Oreochromis niloticus: one gene and its partner. The protein of the gene in region 1 binds, or shares a complex with, the protein of each later gene. Links are inferred from orthologs where the notes say so. Each region holds a gene or a part of one and is shown on either strand. Other genes may lie near its edges.

The links. Proteins that work in one complex are often made in the same cells at the same time.
Region 2: snrpe (region 1) and eftud2 share a complex: the UniProt entries of both Homo sapiens proteins name them as parts of the minor spliceosome. The link is inferred for Oreochromis niloticus from reciprocal best matches to the Homo sapiens genes SNRPE and EFTUD2.

The regions. Positions count from the first base shown.
Region 1 is NC_031970.2:34,218,212-34,226,201, forward strand, and holds the start of snrpe (small nuclear ribonucleoprotein E), read right to left. Parts: upstream 3,035-7,990; 5' UTR 2,764-3,034; coding exon 2,710-2,763; intron 1,810-2,709; coding exon 1,783-1,809; intron 1,680-1,782; coding exon 1,617-1,679; intron 482-1,616; coding exon 403-481; intron 1-402. Other genes in the region: phenazine biosynthesis-like domain-containing protein 2, read right to left, coding at 4,073-4,185, 4,293-4,355, 4,556-4,639, 5,103-5,194, 5,434-5,522, 5,619-5,648, 5,780-5,812. UniProt on the Homo sapiens protein: Plays a role in pre-mRNA splicing as a core component of the spliceosomal U1, U2, U4 and U5 small nuclear ribonucleoproteins (snRNPs), the building blocks of the spliceosome.
Region 2 is NC_031969.2:27,313,077-27,321,117, reverse strand, and holds the start of eftud2 (116 kDa U5 small nuclear ribonucleoprotein component), read right to left. Parts: upstream 3,075-8,041; 5' UTR 2,920-3,074; intron 2,270-2,919; 5' UTR 2,259-2,269; coding exon 2,154-2,258; intron 2,057-2,153; coding exon 1,894-2,056; intron 1,294-1,893; coding exon 1,215-1,293; intron 1,063-1,214; coding exon 987-1,062; intron 770-986; coding exon 704-769; intron 605-703; coding exon 569-604; intron 410-568; coding exon 319-409; intron 193-318; coding exon 110-192; intron 1-109. Other genes in the region: putative phosphatase phospho1, read right to left, coding at 4,660-5,514. UniProt on the Homo sapiens protein: Required for pre-mRNA splicing as component of the spliceosome, including pre-catalytic, catalytic and post-catalytic spliceosomal complexes. Component of the U5 snRNP and the U4/U6-U5 tri-snRNP complex, a building block of the spliceosome.

The DNA of each region.
Region 1 (7,990 bases):
CTCACTGTGCCATCCACAAATGTAGCTGCTAATGTCGTAGCAGCTACAGAATTGGCCTGCACTTTCACCATTTGAAAACATTTAGTACGTCACGAAACAAAAAAATGCACCAAAGCAGACTGACGATTGTCTTGAAATTCTTACATGTGTTTTGTGTTTGTATTTTGCTTCTTTGTTTCAAATCACTGTAATTGTTTTTAATTACACTTTACATAGCATCCCAGCATTTTCAGAATTGGGTTTGCACTTTCTGGGATATGCAGGACAAGTGTTTTCAAAAATCCCTGAGAAGCAACAATGTCTTGATGACACACATTTTTTTTTAATTCTTACCTTTCACAGACATCCTTCCTAAAATTGTAAAATAATAAAACAGCTTTACAAAAAGTGGTGCGCTCTTACCCAATGGTTTTCTGTTCTTAGTCTTCATGTGGACTTCCTCAGCATCGTCTAGAACCAGATTCATGTACTCATCGAAACCCTAAGGCAATGAGACACAAGACAACTAGAACTTACTAACTAGAACTTGTGCATGCCTGATCTCACAGAAGGTTCAGCCTGAGTGGAAACGCTACTCACAGATCAGGCCATTTCAAGTTAGACTGAATCATTTTAAGCCATGCTAGGACATAATGTGGCCATACAGGGGAACAGCAAGTGACAAAGGTTTGTTCCTAGTGAGAGCTTATTTCCATCTCAATAGCAACACGCACATGGTGAAGATCACCTTCTTTGATTTCTTTGGTGCGTATAACACATTTCAGCCACTGCTACTTAGAGAAGGCTAAAGGGAATGTCAGTAAACAGTTGGCCATCTCATGGATCACTGATTATATGATAAACAGTATGTGAAACTGGGCAGTGCTCGGTGTCAAAATGATGACATACAGGAGCTCCACAGGGAACTGAGCCATCTCCACTCCTGTTCACCTTGCACACCTCAGACTTTCAGTCATGCCACCTACAAAACTAATAATTCTGCAGTGGTTGGATGCATCAGTGATGGGCAGCAGGAGTACAGAGCACTAGTGGATGATTTGGTGGAGTTGTCAGAGAGGGATCCACTGTTTCTGATTGTGAATAGGACCACAGAGATGACAGACTGCAGAAGAAAACGGGTGGCTATACCACCTGTGTCTATCCCGGGACAGAATGCTAATGTGGAGGAGGAGAACAAGTACCTGGACATCCACACTGATAACAGGTAGGGCTTGGCCATATCATACTGTTCACGGTAATACCGGTATAATGTTGGACAACGATAAGAAAATGAAATATCATGATAGAATCTGGGTAAAACGCGCATGTGCAGTGCCTTTGTTTTCATACGCACATGGCGGAAAAAGCACGGCGGCTACGGAGAATAAGAAGGGCGAAAGCGGATTGTTGAATGAAACGGATGAACCAGAATTGGTTTGTAAAAATGCTGCAACTTCAGTGGTGTGGAACTGGTTTAGCTTTCGTCCGTCAGATACACAACAAAGCACTATTTTTGGTAGCGCATGCTAGTGGGCCGTCGTTATTACCGTGTTTTTTGGAAAATATGGCACACTGCCCATGAACATCAAGCTTGATAAACTGACCAAGAACATGGAGAAAGGTTATATGTTACTTACAATAATGCAGCCTTCTATCCGCATGTTCACCTGTTCATACAACCAAACTTGGATCCGTGAGCGCTGAGAATGAGAGGGAGAATAAACTGCATACAGTTTTATCTTCAAAATTACCAGAAAACAAAACTAATCAGAAGTAAGCACAAAAAAGTTACAAGCTACTTACATTTTGCAGGTACCTGAAAATGAGATTCTGACAACCACAGTCAAGGACATACACACAGACTCGAGTTCAACATGTTTAGAGTTAAAATGTGCACATATATTGTTAATGGTTATATTCGCATTTAGTCCAAGTTATCGGAAATGTGATTCAGAATCAGAGTTTGGGTCAGGGGTTCTTCCTGGCTTAAAATTGGCTTTTGGTCTTCATATCTTGAGGGCAAACTTTATTATTTTCCCCTGATCCTTTTGTAAATAAAAATCTGTTTAACAAAGAATTAAAATATAGTTACATTTATTTTTGGTCATTTTAATTCTTACACAATATTAGCACTAATATAACATGCTGGCATTCCCATAAGAGACCATTTAAACGTGGATCCATAGCAAATAAAAGAAAACACTATTAAGTTCCACTAACAATTAACTAATTATATTTTTAAAACATTTGAGAAGCTGAAGGTAATTCCGGTTTTATAACTAATAATTGTCAAGACACTTTCGTTAGTTAAGTATTCCGTAACTTCCTTACTCTCCCACATCATATTATATTTTGGTGTTAATAACTATCGATTGGTGGGCCTAAAACCCTCCTTATGGTATCATATTGAGTAGTTTGAAGGCAGAAATTAGCCTCTTTTGCGTTCAGCTGTAACACGGAACAGCAGAGCCGGGCTTAAAGCGGCTAAGTCTATACACTAGTTTTCTGACTGGATTTCAATAAACCACATTTTTCTGCAAACATATTTCATACCCGCGTGACTTCTCTGGGTGAAACTGGTCTTCACAAAAGCTTACATGCCTTGTAAAACTCCTCTCCTCACATGAGTGACTACAAATGTTTACGAATGACTAAATGTTAGCCTAGCTGCTAAGCTATTGTAGCAACCAATTCAACCGCGCAGTGTCGTCCTGCAATACAAAAGGATACAATGGGCTGCACCATAACCTTCTGGACCTTCTGTCCTTGTCCTCTGTATGCCATTCCTACAACTAAATACCAGCTGTAGGTATATGCTGAAAAAAATTGCACCTTTTCTTAAGAGTGCACTACAACGAAACTCTCACGTTGTGAGACGTCTTCAATGGCGGGTTTCCTTTCGCGTGCTCTGCCAGTACCAGCACGGAGGTCTCGTGATGTGAAAGAGCGCCCCTGCGGGTGGGAGGTATCAATAAAAACACTAGAACAAATCAACGTTTATAACCCGAAATCTCGCGAGAACATACCTGTGGAAGTTTGCTGGCAGTGTGAAACGCGCCCAGTCTTCAGCATAAAAACAAACTAAAAGGCTATATGGCAACATCCATCATCGTCTATATGTGAGAAAAGTTAACATTCTCCAGCTCTAGGTGTAGTGTCATTTCCTGTTTCCTATGATAGAGCTATAGTATGTAACCAGAAGTGTCAACTTTAAAAGAACTTGACTATATTAGTGGGCCTCACTAATATAGATTATTCCATTGTTTATTCCATTGTTTTGTCAGTAAAAACCTGTATGTGCAGGAAAGGATTATACAAAAAAACATGTCAAAAAAACATGTCATCATGATGTCTGTGAAGGTTCTCAGTCATCCACGTCATCGTAGTCTAAGGAGCTTGGAAAGAAAAGCGTCTGGACTTCTTTAAGTTGCTTGAAGACGTTTCACCTCTCATCAAAGAAGCTTCTTCAGTTCTAGGGTCAAATGGTGGGAAATGGTCAAATCTGGGACTTGCCACCATTTGATCCTAGAACTGAAGAAGCTTCTCGGATGAGAGGTGAAAAGGTGAAACGTCGTCAAGCAACTTAAAGAAGTCCAGACGCTTTTCTTTCCACGCTCCTTAGACAATGTCATCATGATGACTTTTAATTTCAGGAATATGTACACGTTATTTAGGATCAAAACGAATCTGCACAGTATCATTTATACCAGTTTAGTCCATATCAGCTGTACTTAATTTTATTGAACCCCATTCATTATTAAGCAAAAAGCAAAAAATTCTACCGACCACAAGGCTAACCGTGACTCTTTGGATTTTACCTGCTGTGTTCTTGTGTTTCTGTTTTTACCATTTTAAAATCTTTTGGTTGTAACTTTTTTTGCTGTAATGTTATGAATAAATGATAGAAATTGTAAAAAAGCCTACAGTATGTTTGTTAGCTGAATCATTTCAGAATAGAACAGTCAGGACTTGAGTGTGTTTTTTCTTTTTATTTGAGCCATCTCATTTTTAATCAAGAGCCACAAAGTGTCTATCTGCAGGGACACAACGGTTGTGATAGAACATCAGACACTGTCTTCTTGGATGTCTCAGCCTACAGTTTGATTGTTCCCTGCAGAATAGTGATGGCCTGTCCAGCTATGTTGATTCTTCCATCATCTCTCAGTTCAAGTTCCAGCTCGCCACCACGACTGGAGCACTGGTAAGCTGCACAGACACAATAAGCAGATTAATAATGGATAAAAGTGGAACACAACATCTGTTATCAGATAAATGACACATTAGTAAAAGGCGGAGAAGGTTAAAATACGTACCCAGCATTTTCTTCTTTCCTAGTTTTTCAGACCAGTAGCTACCTAGGACTGTGTGGTTAGATCCTGCCAGAGCAAAGAATGCACAGCAGGAATAGCTTAACACTTTCTCTCATTAATAAGACACCTGTAAATGCATCCTCTTTAATCACTTTAGTCCAGCTGCTTATATGTAAATGTTTTTAGACACACAAACATGGTCAGAATTATGTTATTTGAGGAATAATGTCTATAGATTACATACTAGTAAAGAGGAATCATCTTACCAGTGACAGGATCCTCAGGGACTCCAACCCATGGAGAAAAGTCTCTCGAATAGAAGTCATATCCTGGCTGGCAGTCTGGTGATCCTGTTTCCACATGTTAGCAGTGTTTGATATTTAATGTTTGTTGGCAGAAACATTCAGTCAGTGTTGTTACACAAATTAAAATGGGCAACAAACGAGTCCACAGGATGGTGATGGCAAAGGAGAAATCAGCGCACCATTTGTCCTGTGATCAAACATTTCCCCAGAGCTCAACCCAAGTGAAGGCCTATATGATGAGTGAAATCACAGACTGTGCTCTTCATCACCATCATCATTAAAACACCAAATGAGGGAATGTTTTTGGCAGATTGCTGTTCATCCCTCTAACAGAGGTGCATCGAAGCTTTTCTGATGGTACATGGTGGGACAACACCTCACTTAAACACTTCATGTTTTGTTTCCTTTGGTTTATTCTTTACTGTTTACGTCTTCATTGTAATGGAATTACTACATGTGGTCCGATCCAGCAAGTCTACAACTCTACGAAAGGCACAGCTCCGATTACCTTTCATAGTGACGATGACGGCGCAGAATCTTCCACTTCTCTCAGTATTCTCAAGAGCCACAGTGTCAACTTTCAGATTGGTAAGCGCGGAGCTGGAGATAATACACAAAAAGCATATATACATTTACTAAAATGTGATGAGTGGGTGTAGAAGGGCAGTTGCTTGATTATTTGTTTGGGCTTTAAACATATGAATAAGCCCCACTAGCTGGGCACCTGAGAAATATAACTGATTGTTGTTGCTGAACAAATGTTTAAGATCCCATGAACAGTAGGACCACTATTGAGATTCATTTGAATTTGGCAACAAGCAAAGTTTTTTTTAACCAACATGTCACAGCTGTCAGCCAGTCGAATCAGCAGCTTCTTGGTGTTGTAGCAAAATAAAACTTCCTGAACCGGGAGGTTTCCGACTGCCGCCTGTGTCACACATGTAAAGGCAGAGACTTAGCTGAATACACACACAGGAATGTAGTTACACTTTCACAAACTGTTCACAAAAATGTGATTTCTGACCTTGATGGTGTCTTTGAAGTCGTTGGGTTCCTGAAATAAAAAGAGTTCAGAAAGAAAGCCATTTTACATACACTGTTAATAAAACACAAGAACTAGTTTATTTTACATTACAGGATTTGATTAAATTGTTCATGTAACTAAACAGGAAAAGTTTATTTTACCACTCGGGTGGGGGGATTCAGAGGAAAGTCCATGATGTACCCTTCCTCCTTCTTGGTGACGTGCAGATCTCCACTCTTGGTCTCAAACACCAGGGTGGGATTTACATTTTCTGAAGGAAAACATCCATTACACGGTTACATGCTAGCACCTCTTTGCTCCTTCTTGCAGTCAGCTGCATTGTGCATTACAGGCATCTTTAAAAATAGCTCCAGCGGCCTTTTCTACTGCACCATGATGTCACTTTTTTTTTTCAAAAACCTTTTTATGTGTAAATGTTGCATCTTACTGATGTGTTGGAATAGCACTGCTGCAGAGGCCAGAGTGGCATGACCGCACAGATCTACTTCAGTGGTTGGTGTAAACCATCGAAGGCGGAATCTTGATCCTGTTAATCACACATTTAAGACTTTTTTCAGTTTTGTTTTGGTATTAGTTTCAAATACACAGAGTTAAGCAGTGTAGATAATAATGTTAGTGATTGGCTTACATCCACAAAGGTCTTCAAGGTCAACTTGAAGGTTGGTCTACAGATCTACAAGTCTACAAGGTCTACAGATTTCAAATATGTCACATTTGACCTATGACCCTCCCCTTCAAGGTCAAGACATCTAAAGGTCAATGTTATAATAATGCTATATAGAGCTACTTAAGTGTGTTTCTTACTGCCATTGTACTGTCAATGGCACTGTGTGTCCTTAATCCTGCCTGATGGGTCTAGTTTAATTTTGCTGAAGGCTAACCTTTCGTGATTCTCTTACACAATCCAAAATTTGTAACTGACATTTCTCAATAGCTACAAAGTGCCATGAAATAGACTTTGTGGTGATTTGAAGATATTTTTCTCTAATTTAATTGTATTCTGATCCTGAAATGTCTGTTGTCTGTGGCAAAACTTACAAGTTTTAATCGTGTGACAGTGTCACATCTTCCTATGGTCACTAGCAGATATTTATGTCCTTAATAGTAACCTGAAAGCTGAACTTCTTGCAACATTTTTTATCCTAATACCAGCTATCTCATGGGAGACAGTTAGCTTTCATTGAGTGGATTTGTCCTTTTACGAATAAACTTTTTTCACTTTTTTTTTTGATAATCTCAGGCAGACTGATACAGGCTTTTTTCCTCATCATATTTGGACTATTTTAATTCCTTCTGCCTTGTTCAAACTTTAGCTGCCAGAGACGAGAAGAGCAAAGACCACATTACTCCCGCTACATTAGACTTATTCAATATAGAATTGATTTTAAACTTTGCTTTATTGTTTGAACAGCCTTACATGACTTCACTCACACCTCACTTTGTTAACAGAGCCGCTGGTTTGATTCAGACACGCCTAACTGTTCCTGCAGCTCACATCATTACAAAATGACGTGGCATTTTCTCTTACAGCCTCACAGCTGTGCAAATTCTTCACCACTACTCACAGCTTTTTTTTAAAATAGTGACTCCGTTTTTTCCTATCATACAATTTCCTTGACTCATTTATTTCACTTGTCATGTTATTCAGGTTTTCGGGTTTTTGTTGTTTTATTTCAGTCTGTTTTATTTTCTGCAACTACAATATACATGAGCTTTATTATCGTTCTTATAACTATAAAGTCATACAAACTTGTTAATCTATATTGAAAAATTTCTATCTTGCACCTATAGGGACTACTTTTAAGTTTAAGCAGTATGTGAATCATACACCATACTGTATACTTTTGAAAGAGAGCTTTCCATTACAGCATTATAATCTAAGAGGCTTTGGAATGTAGAATACCATATGTAGGCAAGTATATTTCTCCTTTTTTTTTTTTTTTTTTTATCAAGAAGCAAAGACAAAAAGTAAAAACAAAGAAACAGGGCAGGGTTCAGTCAGTGGTTGAATCATCTGTCCCCACCAATGCCAAAACCAAATCTACGCCCTTGGTGTAAATTTCACCACCGCTGCAGTTTACCCATCAGGTGGCGCCAGTAGCGGTTTTTGATATGGGCGACATGGGCGGTTCCCCAGGGCGGCGGCATAACGGGCATCGGCAAAAAAAAAAAAGTTGCTCGTACTCATGCTGCCCCGACATCATGCCAGCGCATTTTGGGGATGTCATAGGCACCGATCGGTGTTCTTGCGGCCATTTGCGGGGAGTAAGGGCGCCCTCCGTTTGCGAGGTGCGCCTGCTGCTTGCGGCACAGGGAGGAGAGGGCGTGGCGGCGGGGGATTCTCTGGCTGG
Region 2 (8,041 bases), on another chromosome or scaffold:
TACACAAATATCTGTGAGATCTATGGGCAGCTGAAGAACACACGCATAATGACATAAAAAGATATAGATAGTGTTGGTTTGGGAGAACCGCAAATAGAAGTTGACTCACTCCTTCTGCTGCATCTATGAAGAGGACAACGCCATCTGAGAGGCGGATGCTAGATGTGACCTCATCAGAGAAATTCACGTGGCCTATGGGAGGACGAGCACAAAAGTAGACTTGTTAGTTTTGTGTTTTTTGTCAGCAATATTTAGATCATTCTATAAAACCTCAAAATATGCATCTAACAACTTAAGGATCCAATGTGAATACAATACCTGGTGTATCCATTATATTGAAAAGGTAGGATTTTCCTCTGGAGTCAGGCAGGACCATTGTGACAGGGGTACTTTTGATGCCAACTCCTCTCTATAAAAATGGATCAGGTAAAAAGCAAGGGAAACATTGATACAGTCTTCTAAAGAAGATATTCAGGCTGAAATAGACTCTGGATACTTATAAATATTGATAGAATTATTTAGTAATGAATGCTCTGTAGCGTTATGGCAGTTAAACCAAGCCACTCACCTCTTGTTCGGTAAAGAGGATGTCTGTGTATCGGAGCTGAAAAAGTAAAACAGATCATGTTGATCTCAGCTGTCATATACAGAATTTATGTATAACAGAGTGCAAACATGTTGAATTATTGTACACAACACTCACATCCACATCATCTCTCTTCCTGATTTCTGGGTGTGTCTGCTCAATCAGGCAATCCACAAAACAGGTCTGAATGGAATAAACACATTCATTAGATTCCCGTGAGCCACAGATGGCTCTAAAGTGCAGCCATGTTATTAGCATATGCTCCAAAATGTTCCAAATCTGTTCAATTTTTCATCTTAGGAACACATGTTCGCTTGGCTACATGCTGGAGAAGAGCCACGACTGGAAGAGCATATTTAAAGAAGCCTGAGCCCGGAGCAGGAATAAGGCAGACTCTAACCTTGCCGTGGTGAAGGTGACCGCAGAGGGTGACGTTACGAATCAGCTCTGGTCCGTCCATCAGATCTGCAAGAAATCTGACGAGGGAGAAGAGGGTTAATGCTGCTTGCTAAAGACACACTATAAATGCATGAAGATGGACTAATGTGTAAAGAATATTACACGAGATCAGTCTGTGAAACACTGAATTGCATTTTCAGATGCAACAAACCACTTGAACAATTCTTACTCCATATCGTAAACTGTGGCAGGCAACTCCTGTTCCATCAGGGTGAACTGCTTGTTCTTCACAGGCTTGATGATCGGCTCTGGAAGGAGTAAAGAGAAAATATTGTGTACAGGATTATGAAAAGAAGCATTTTTAAGACTGCACTCCTTGACTATTTTTATAGTTAAAATACATCTGAAAATACAGAGAGTGAATCTGTGCGTTCAAAACATATACATTTTTCTTTAATTTTGCCCAGTATTGCAACACAGGTGTACTATTGCGCCTGTTTTCATCCATCTATGTTCTTCCACTTATGCTGCTTCCTAACAAACCCAAATTCACTGTTAAGTTCAGCTCGACCAAGACAAGACCTTCGGGGTTTCTCGTTAGTGACTACACATGTAAGAATGATTGGTCCTCATAAAGTTAAAGCGATGAGCATCTGTTACTTGACAGAAGTCTACGCATTTTCCTATCATCTTTTGTAGCTTTTTTTTTTTTTTTTTTTTTTTTATTCTTGACTAAAGTAAAATCTATTTTTAAAATAAACAAAATTTCAAAAGTAATGTTAATCATGGTGCTGGTAATTTTCTGTTGAGAGAAGGCAAAAACCTCTTTTCTGTATGTAGAAACCTTGATTTTGGTCAACAAGGTTTTTTTTTTTTTTTCATCTTTAGATAAATTTAAGCAGCCCTACCTGTAAGTGGTTGTGTATCTTCCTCCTGTACAATAGTTTCCACTTCAGGCCCATAGACCTCCTCTGCTGTAGGATAGTACTTCTTGTCCTCATGCAGGACCACCTCCATGCCAGGGACATCATCATCAGCATCCGCTGGCTCATCCTCGTCATCTTCATCACCCTGCAAATTGTAAATACCACAAACTCATGTACTCACTGCAAACACGAACTTCAGTACTACCTGGTAATTACTGCTGGTTCTTGAGTGTTAAGCATACCTCGTCGACGTCTCTGTCCTCTGCATCCAGGTCATCATCATCGTCGTCAGAGTCCAGCTCTGGACCGATGTAGTTCCCAAACTCGTCATACAAATCAGCCTCCATATCGCAGAGAACTAAATGAGGGGTTGATATGTCAATGAGCAAGTGCATTTGGTGGCAAAGTTCATTTTATAAATACGATCCACTGTAGCATACAAAACGCATAACGTTTCAGCAGAAAAATATATAGGAGAGGAAAAAACGACGAGATATTTAAAATGTATAATGTATCTTATTGCTGTTTAAGTTAGCCAAAACGTAACGTGTCAGTGAGTCATCAATAACACATCAGTAACTTCCTCACTTTAATGCTTCACTAGAAAAGGAAATTTACTTTTAATATAAGTTAGCTTTAGCTTGTTTTTGTCTGCCAGTGGCGGTTAACATTCATGAGAAAGTATATACCACTGTAAGTCACCGCTAAAGCGAATGCTAACGCTAACCGCTGCACAGCATGCAGGGACGCAGTTCAGTTACTTTTATAAAGTTCACTCGAGTTTTCTGTCCACAGAGAATCAGCACAGAAAATGCATCTTGACTAAGACGTTTCCGTTTGATATAAGCAGCTCTTCTATTACTGCACTAGCGATCCTAAGACGACCATGCTAGCCGGCTAACAAGCACAGAAATGAATGGCTTGAAAGCGACGTTTGAGTTACGTTGTTGTTGTTCAGAGATTTTAGTTCAAGATAACTCAGTGCTGCATGCTGCTAAATACACGTACCTGTATCCTGTAGGAATCACTTAATTATCGATTTCGAACAAACTGAAAGTTGTGTTTATAAGCAGACGAGAATATATTATTCAAAGAGCGCCATGCGCACCAGACGCTTCCGGTTTTCTTCTTCAGCTGTTTAATATGAAGGCGGTTAACAATTTATGTTAAAGCTCACTACTGCCCCCATTTGGGCTACAAAGCCACTACTGCACACGTTTGCAAAACGGAGGGTTCATTGCTACATCGCTTCACCATCTACAAATGGCACTTGCTGCAAAATAAAACGTGTGTACTCACAGAGCATTTATGTAATGATTTGTTTTTATTTTTATATCTTCATTGACGTCCGTGTGCAATTGTTTCCCTCAGGTGATCCTCATATGTAACTACAACTTCCTCTATTTTTAGAGTTATTTTGATAACTACTTTCAGAATATGTTAGCCGAAAGACTCAGAAAATGTAAACGTTACCGTGTTGTAGACATAAATCTTAATTGGTGACCTGAATGAAGACCTTAACAACATCGCGTATGTAGTTACACCCTTTAGCCACAAGAGGGTACTAGACACGAATGAATATGCTCGTGAGGAGATAAAAAGGAGATGACAGTAAAGACATATATTGAAATATTTTTTATACACTAAAACTCAGGCATGCCTTCTAATGAAGAATGAAAATACTTTTCTAACAAATAAGAAAGTATAAGACGTCATTCTGGAAAATATTTCATTGGTTTATTGGGTTTTAATGTGGCTTTCAGGTGTCATTTCAAACATGTCATTTTTAATTGCAGTCTCTTTCAAAGGATTTCGTAATTGTTATGGCATGCAAATTGTGTGTTTGTGATGGGAGTTAAAGCCGTCTAAAATTTCAGACGAGTTATATCGTAGCAGTTGTCAGCGTTGCAACAGAAAAAGTGACACTATGGCCCGCCTTTATTGGGGGGGGGTCACTGCTGCTGGTGGATTTTGGCAATGTGATAAAACGTACACAGACACAGTTTCAGTCGATGGCTTTATTCCTGCTGGTGTTGATAGTTTCAGTAGGCGAAGCCTACACAATGAAGACAGGCTGATAAACAATAACACACACTCTTGATACACGGTCATTCATACAGTTCTCAATTAGACAGAAGGACAGTTTCAATGCCCTTTGCCATCAGATGACAGTGTAAGTCTGAATTTTATTTAATGAATTTAATGTTGCATATTCAAAAATGTGCAGTTTGTAACAAAACAGTTATAACTGCTATTCAGGAGCACTCAAGTCAGTTGATTGATATACTTGTCATGTTATTTATAAGATTTTTATTGACTGCTGCAGTGATTCCTCACACCACTGACCCACTTTAACATTTACGATCACTCCATGGTCCACACTGAAGGATATTTATTAATCGGATGCTCTCAAACTTTATAGTTATACTGAAATATTCTTTAATATGCTTATATCATTACATTTGATCTTTTTCCCCACTTTGGGTAACAGCTGAGGTCTTGATGTCTAATGATTAAACCGAGTTTCTATTTCAGGACTGACCTCGGGAACAAAAACGTGAGATTCTGGACTGAGGCACGTGTTGGATGCCAGATAGACACAATGACCCTCGCAGATGGTACAAATTATCTTATTGCCTTGCACAACAATTTCTGGGAATATTTTACCTGAGAATATGACATAAAGTGTCAGCTGGCCCCTTGATTACCCCCCTCTGTGCTACACTCTCTCTCTAAGTGTGTGACCCTTTAATCTGCCACCAGTTTCCGGAGCCGCTGCACCACATCCTCCGCGCTCACCCAAGGCACCGTGACAGCCTTGAACTCCCCTGGCTGGGCTTCGTGGGTCTCGGTGATCAGCCGGTGCATGGGGAAGTCTCTCCGCGGGAAGGCCACGTCGCGGGGACCGAGGGAGAGCGCGGGGCAGAAGTCATTAGCTCCGTCCCCGACGTAGAAGATCCTCTGGTACGGGCGCCCCCGCTCCTGCGTTCTGCGGGCCACGTAGTCCCTGACGATCACCTGCTTGCACATGTTGTCTGGGCACCGGGGGCAGTCGTGAGAGTGGAAGGGCCGCAGCACCAGCCGCCCGTCCTTGTTGAAGGTCGCGGGGTTGGAAAAGATCCGGTGGAACAGCTGCCGGGCCCCGACGCGCCGGAGCCAGCACTCTATGAAGTAGGTGTTGGCGTCGGACAGCAGTATCACCTCAAAGTCCTTCGCGGGCCGGTTGCGGAGGAACTGGAAGAGGGTGAGCATGCCGGGTGTGGCCGGTATCTTCTCCATGACGCTGCGTATGTCGCTCTCGGTGACGCCCTGCTCCGCTAGGTAGGCCAGCACCCGCTGCATGTATTCGTTGTAGCGGCCGGGCTGATAAGTGTCCGTCAGCCACCCGGGGAGGTGCTGACCCGGGGCGGCCTGCACTACCATGTCATCGCTGGTTTCATCCACGATGGTCTCGTCGAAGTCAAAGAAGATCAGGAAGCGCTTGTCAGGGGAGATGTGAGCTGGGTGGGAGGCCATGATCTCTGAGCGCCTGGGTCTCTGGGGTTCCTCCTCGCCTGGGGGATGGGGTGGGACATAACAGCAGTTGAAGAACGAATCCCCCATGATTTACTACGCCACACCTTTTAATATTGCCAAGTGGCATCAAATCTCCACCCCCGCTCTTCTGCTCTCCAGCATCCCACGCAATGGGCCGCGGTGAGGTAGAGGGTGACCTTCTGGGAAACATCAATGCAATAAAGGAGGGTGTGGGGGTTTGGGTGGAGGCAAAGAAGTCAAATATAGATTTCACAGGAATAATATAATTTCAATGAAAAGGCACGGGGAAAAAAAAAATCTATAAATATAATATAAAGCAGCCAACCAGCAGCTGTGTCAGACAAGAGGCGGCAGCAAATTATGGATTTGTGGAGAGGGGGAAAAAAGGGTCAAGTATTGTGTAGAAGAGCGAAAAACAAGGTAAGACTCACTCATGCAGTTCCAGCAAGCAAGCAAAACGATAAGCTACAGATTATATATCCGGGCAGGTCAGCCCTATTCAACTTTTTCACAGGCCGTGTGCTTACCTTGGATTTTCCCTGATGTCTACAGTGGAAGTCCAGATCCAACCAGTTGCCTTCAAAGTGTGACTGGTTTGTTCCTTTATGGGGGGAAAAATACAATGAATGCTGAATCAGTGGAAAAGCAGTACGGGACAAACTTAAAAGGCAGACAAATGCCGAAAAAAGATCAACAGAGAGCTTATACAGCAAATTTAGATATAATAAAAACCCAGCACACACAAAAAAAACTTAATTAGGGATTTTAGACTTTTTTTTAAAGCTTTTTTTTTTTTTTTTTTTTTTTTTAAAGCTTACTAATTAGTAAGAACAGTCGAGGCTTCTTATCAAGCTGTTAATCTAGAAGGGTTTTGTTTTACATAACAGCAGCACAACCATCATGCAGTGAAGGCAGTGAGCGCTGGATTGAGGTTTAAAATACTACTACTAATAGAAATAATAATAATTACAGATGAGTCACCGGCTCTGGTTCCGATCCCCGGTGTCAGTCAGCTCCGATCCGGTCTCATAGAGGAGAGGTAGAGTTCCGCCGGTCGGCCGGTGGCTCGCGCACTTTTATGTGCCACTCAAACCCACCGGAGCCGCTCTGAACGTGACCGCGCCTCCGAGTCCGCCCATTTAATAGCAGCCTATTGCGCGCGTTCACGATATAAAAGGTGGAGGAGAGAGGGGATTGTGGGAGTAGGGGGAGGAAGGAAGAAAAACCCATCGAGAGTAAATAGTCCGTTCCTTGAATATAACCGTAGAAGAAATGTGCGCCAGTCTCGTAAATGTAGCCTATTAGTATTTTTACATGGCTCCAAACGTGGCATAGTCACATCCACACAATGGAGCATTTACCGAAAAAAAAAAAAAAGAGAGTGAGAGAGAGGATAAGCACTTCTGGTAGCAGTGGGAGGTCAATGGGAAAAGGTCAAGCTCTCAAGTTTTCCCATTTATACATCTTTGTGTAATTCCAATTTGGAGTGGAGAGTCAGGGATAACATCCGAATAACCCCGTCTCATCTGAATTTGCTAAAGTAACTCAGCTGCATTCACTTAAAACAGAAAACAGTTTTAATGCTCTCTCATGTCCTTACAAAGAGAACAAGCACCTTCCCTCATCCAGGATGATCTGGATTTCCGGCCAATAAGTACTCTGTTGCAAAGGCGGCACAGGGAACGGGGGCAAAGTACCACATGCGAGACATTTGTGAGGATGACTGGAACGAAATCATTTCACATCTGAGAGAAGTGTTGTGTTTTCGTTTATTAACTACAGGGAAACATTAGCATCGCAGCAAGGGAGTTTGTGTTGCCTGCTTGTTTCTCCACGAGACAGCGGTCTAGATAAAACCCTGCAAGTATACTGATTAATGAACCGCACAGCAAGTTTCAGAGCGGTGCACACTTGCCTACAAAAACATGGCATGAAGCCCTCCTCTCTTTATCTGCCTGCTGACAGACGGAGGGGGGGGGCCTCCTCCCTCCTCGACACCGCAAGGCGTAATGACTAACAGCTGGGGAGGCCGACTATTTTCAAGCCCAAATGGGAATGGAGATGTACAGACGGTGTGTTATTATCTCCCCTGCTCATGGAGTGAGCCTTGGTACCTGACCACCCACTCACCAACAGTGAGTCACTCACACTTTTCTCTACCCATCAGCCCGCTCTGCTACCTTATAGGATTATGTGACTCATTGGTGCACCACTTAAAACCTCCTATGGTGATGGAGGATACACAGTATTTTAGGAGGTATTCTAGCAACAGTAAATGCCTTAATGTGACCTCAGTGGAGGTACACGCTGTTAATGCATGAATAAACCTGGCTGAGATGCAACAAGAGATATCCAAAAAGTCAATTTTAAACACCCTCTTGTAATCTATGTAAGTAGTTATATGGCCTCAAGGTGCATTTGCATATCTAAGAGGTACAATGTGGGTACTTGACTGTCAAGATCACTGCCCTCAAATACAATAAAGCCTGCTGTGACTTTAAAGTGAACAGGAAGTGTTCACAAAGAAGAGGATCTAAAACTTCTCTTGTCAAATAAATGCTCAGCAAAGCAAAGCTGTTGTTGAACCCTGAGG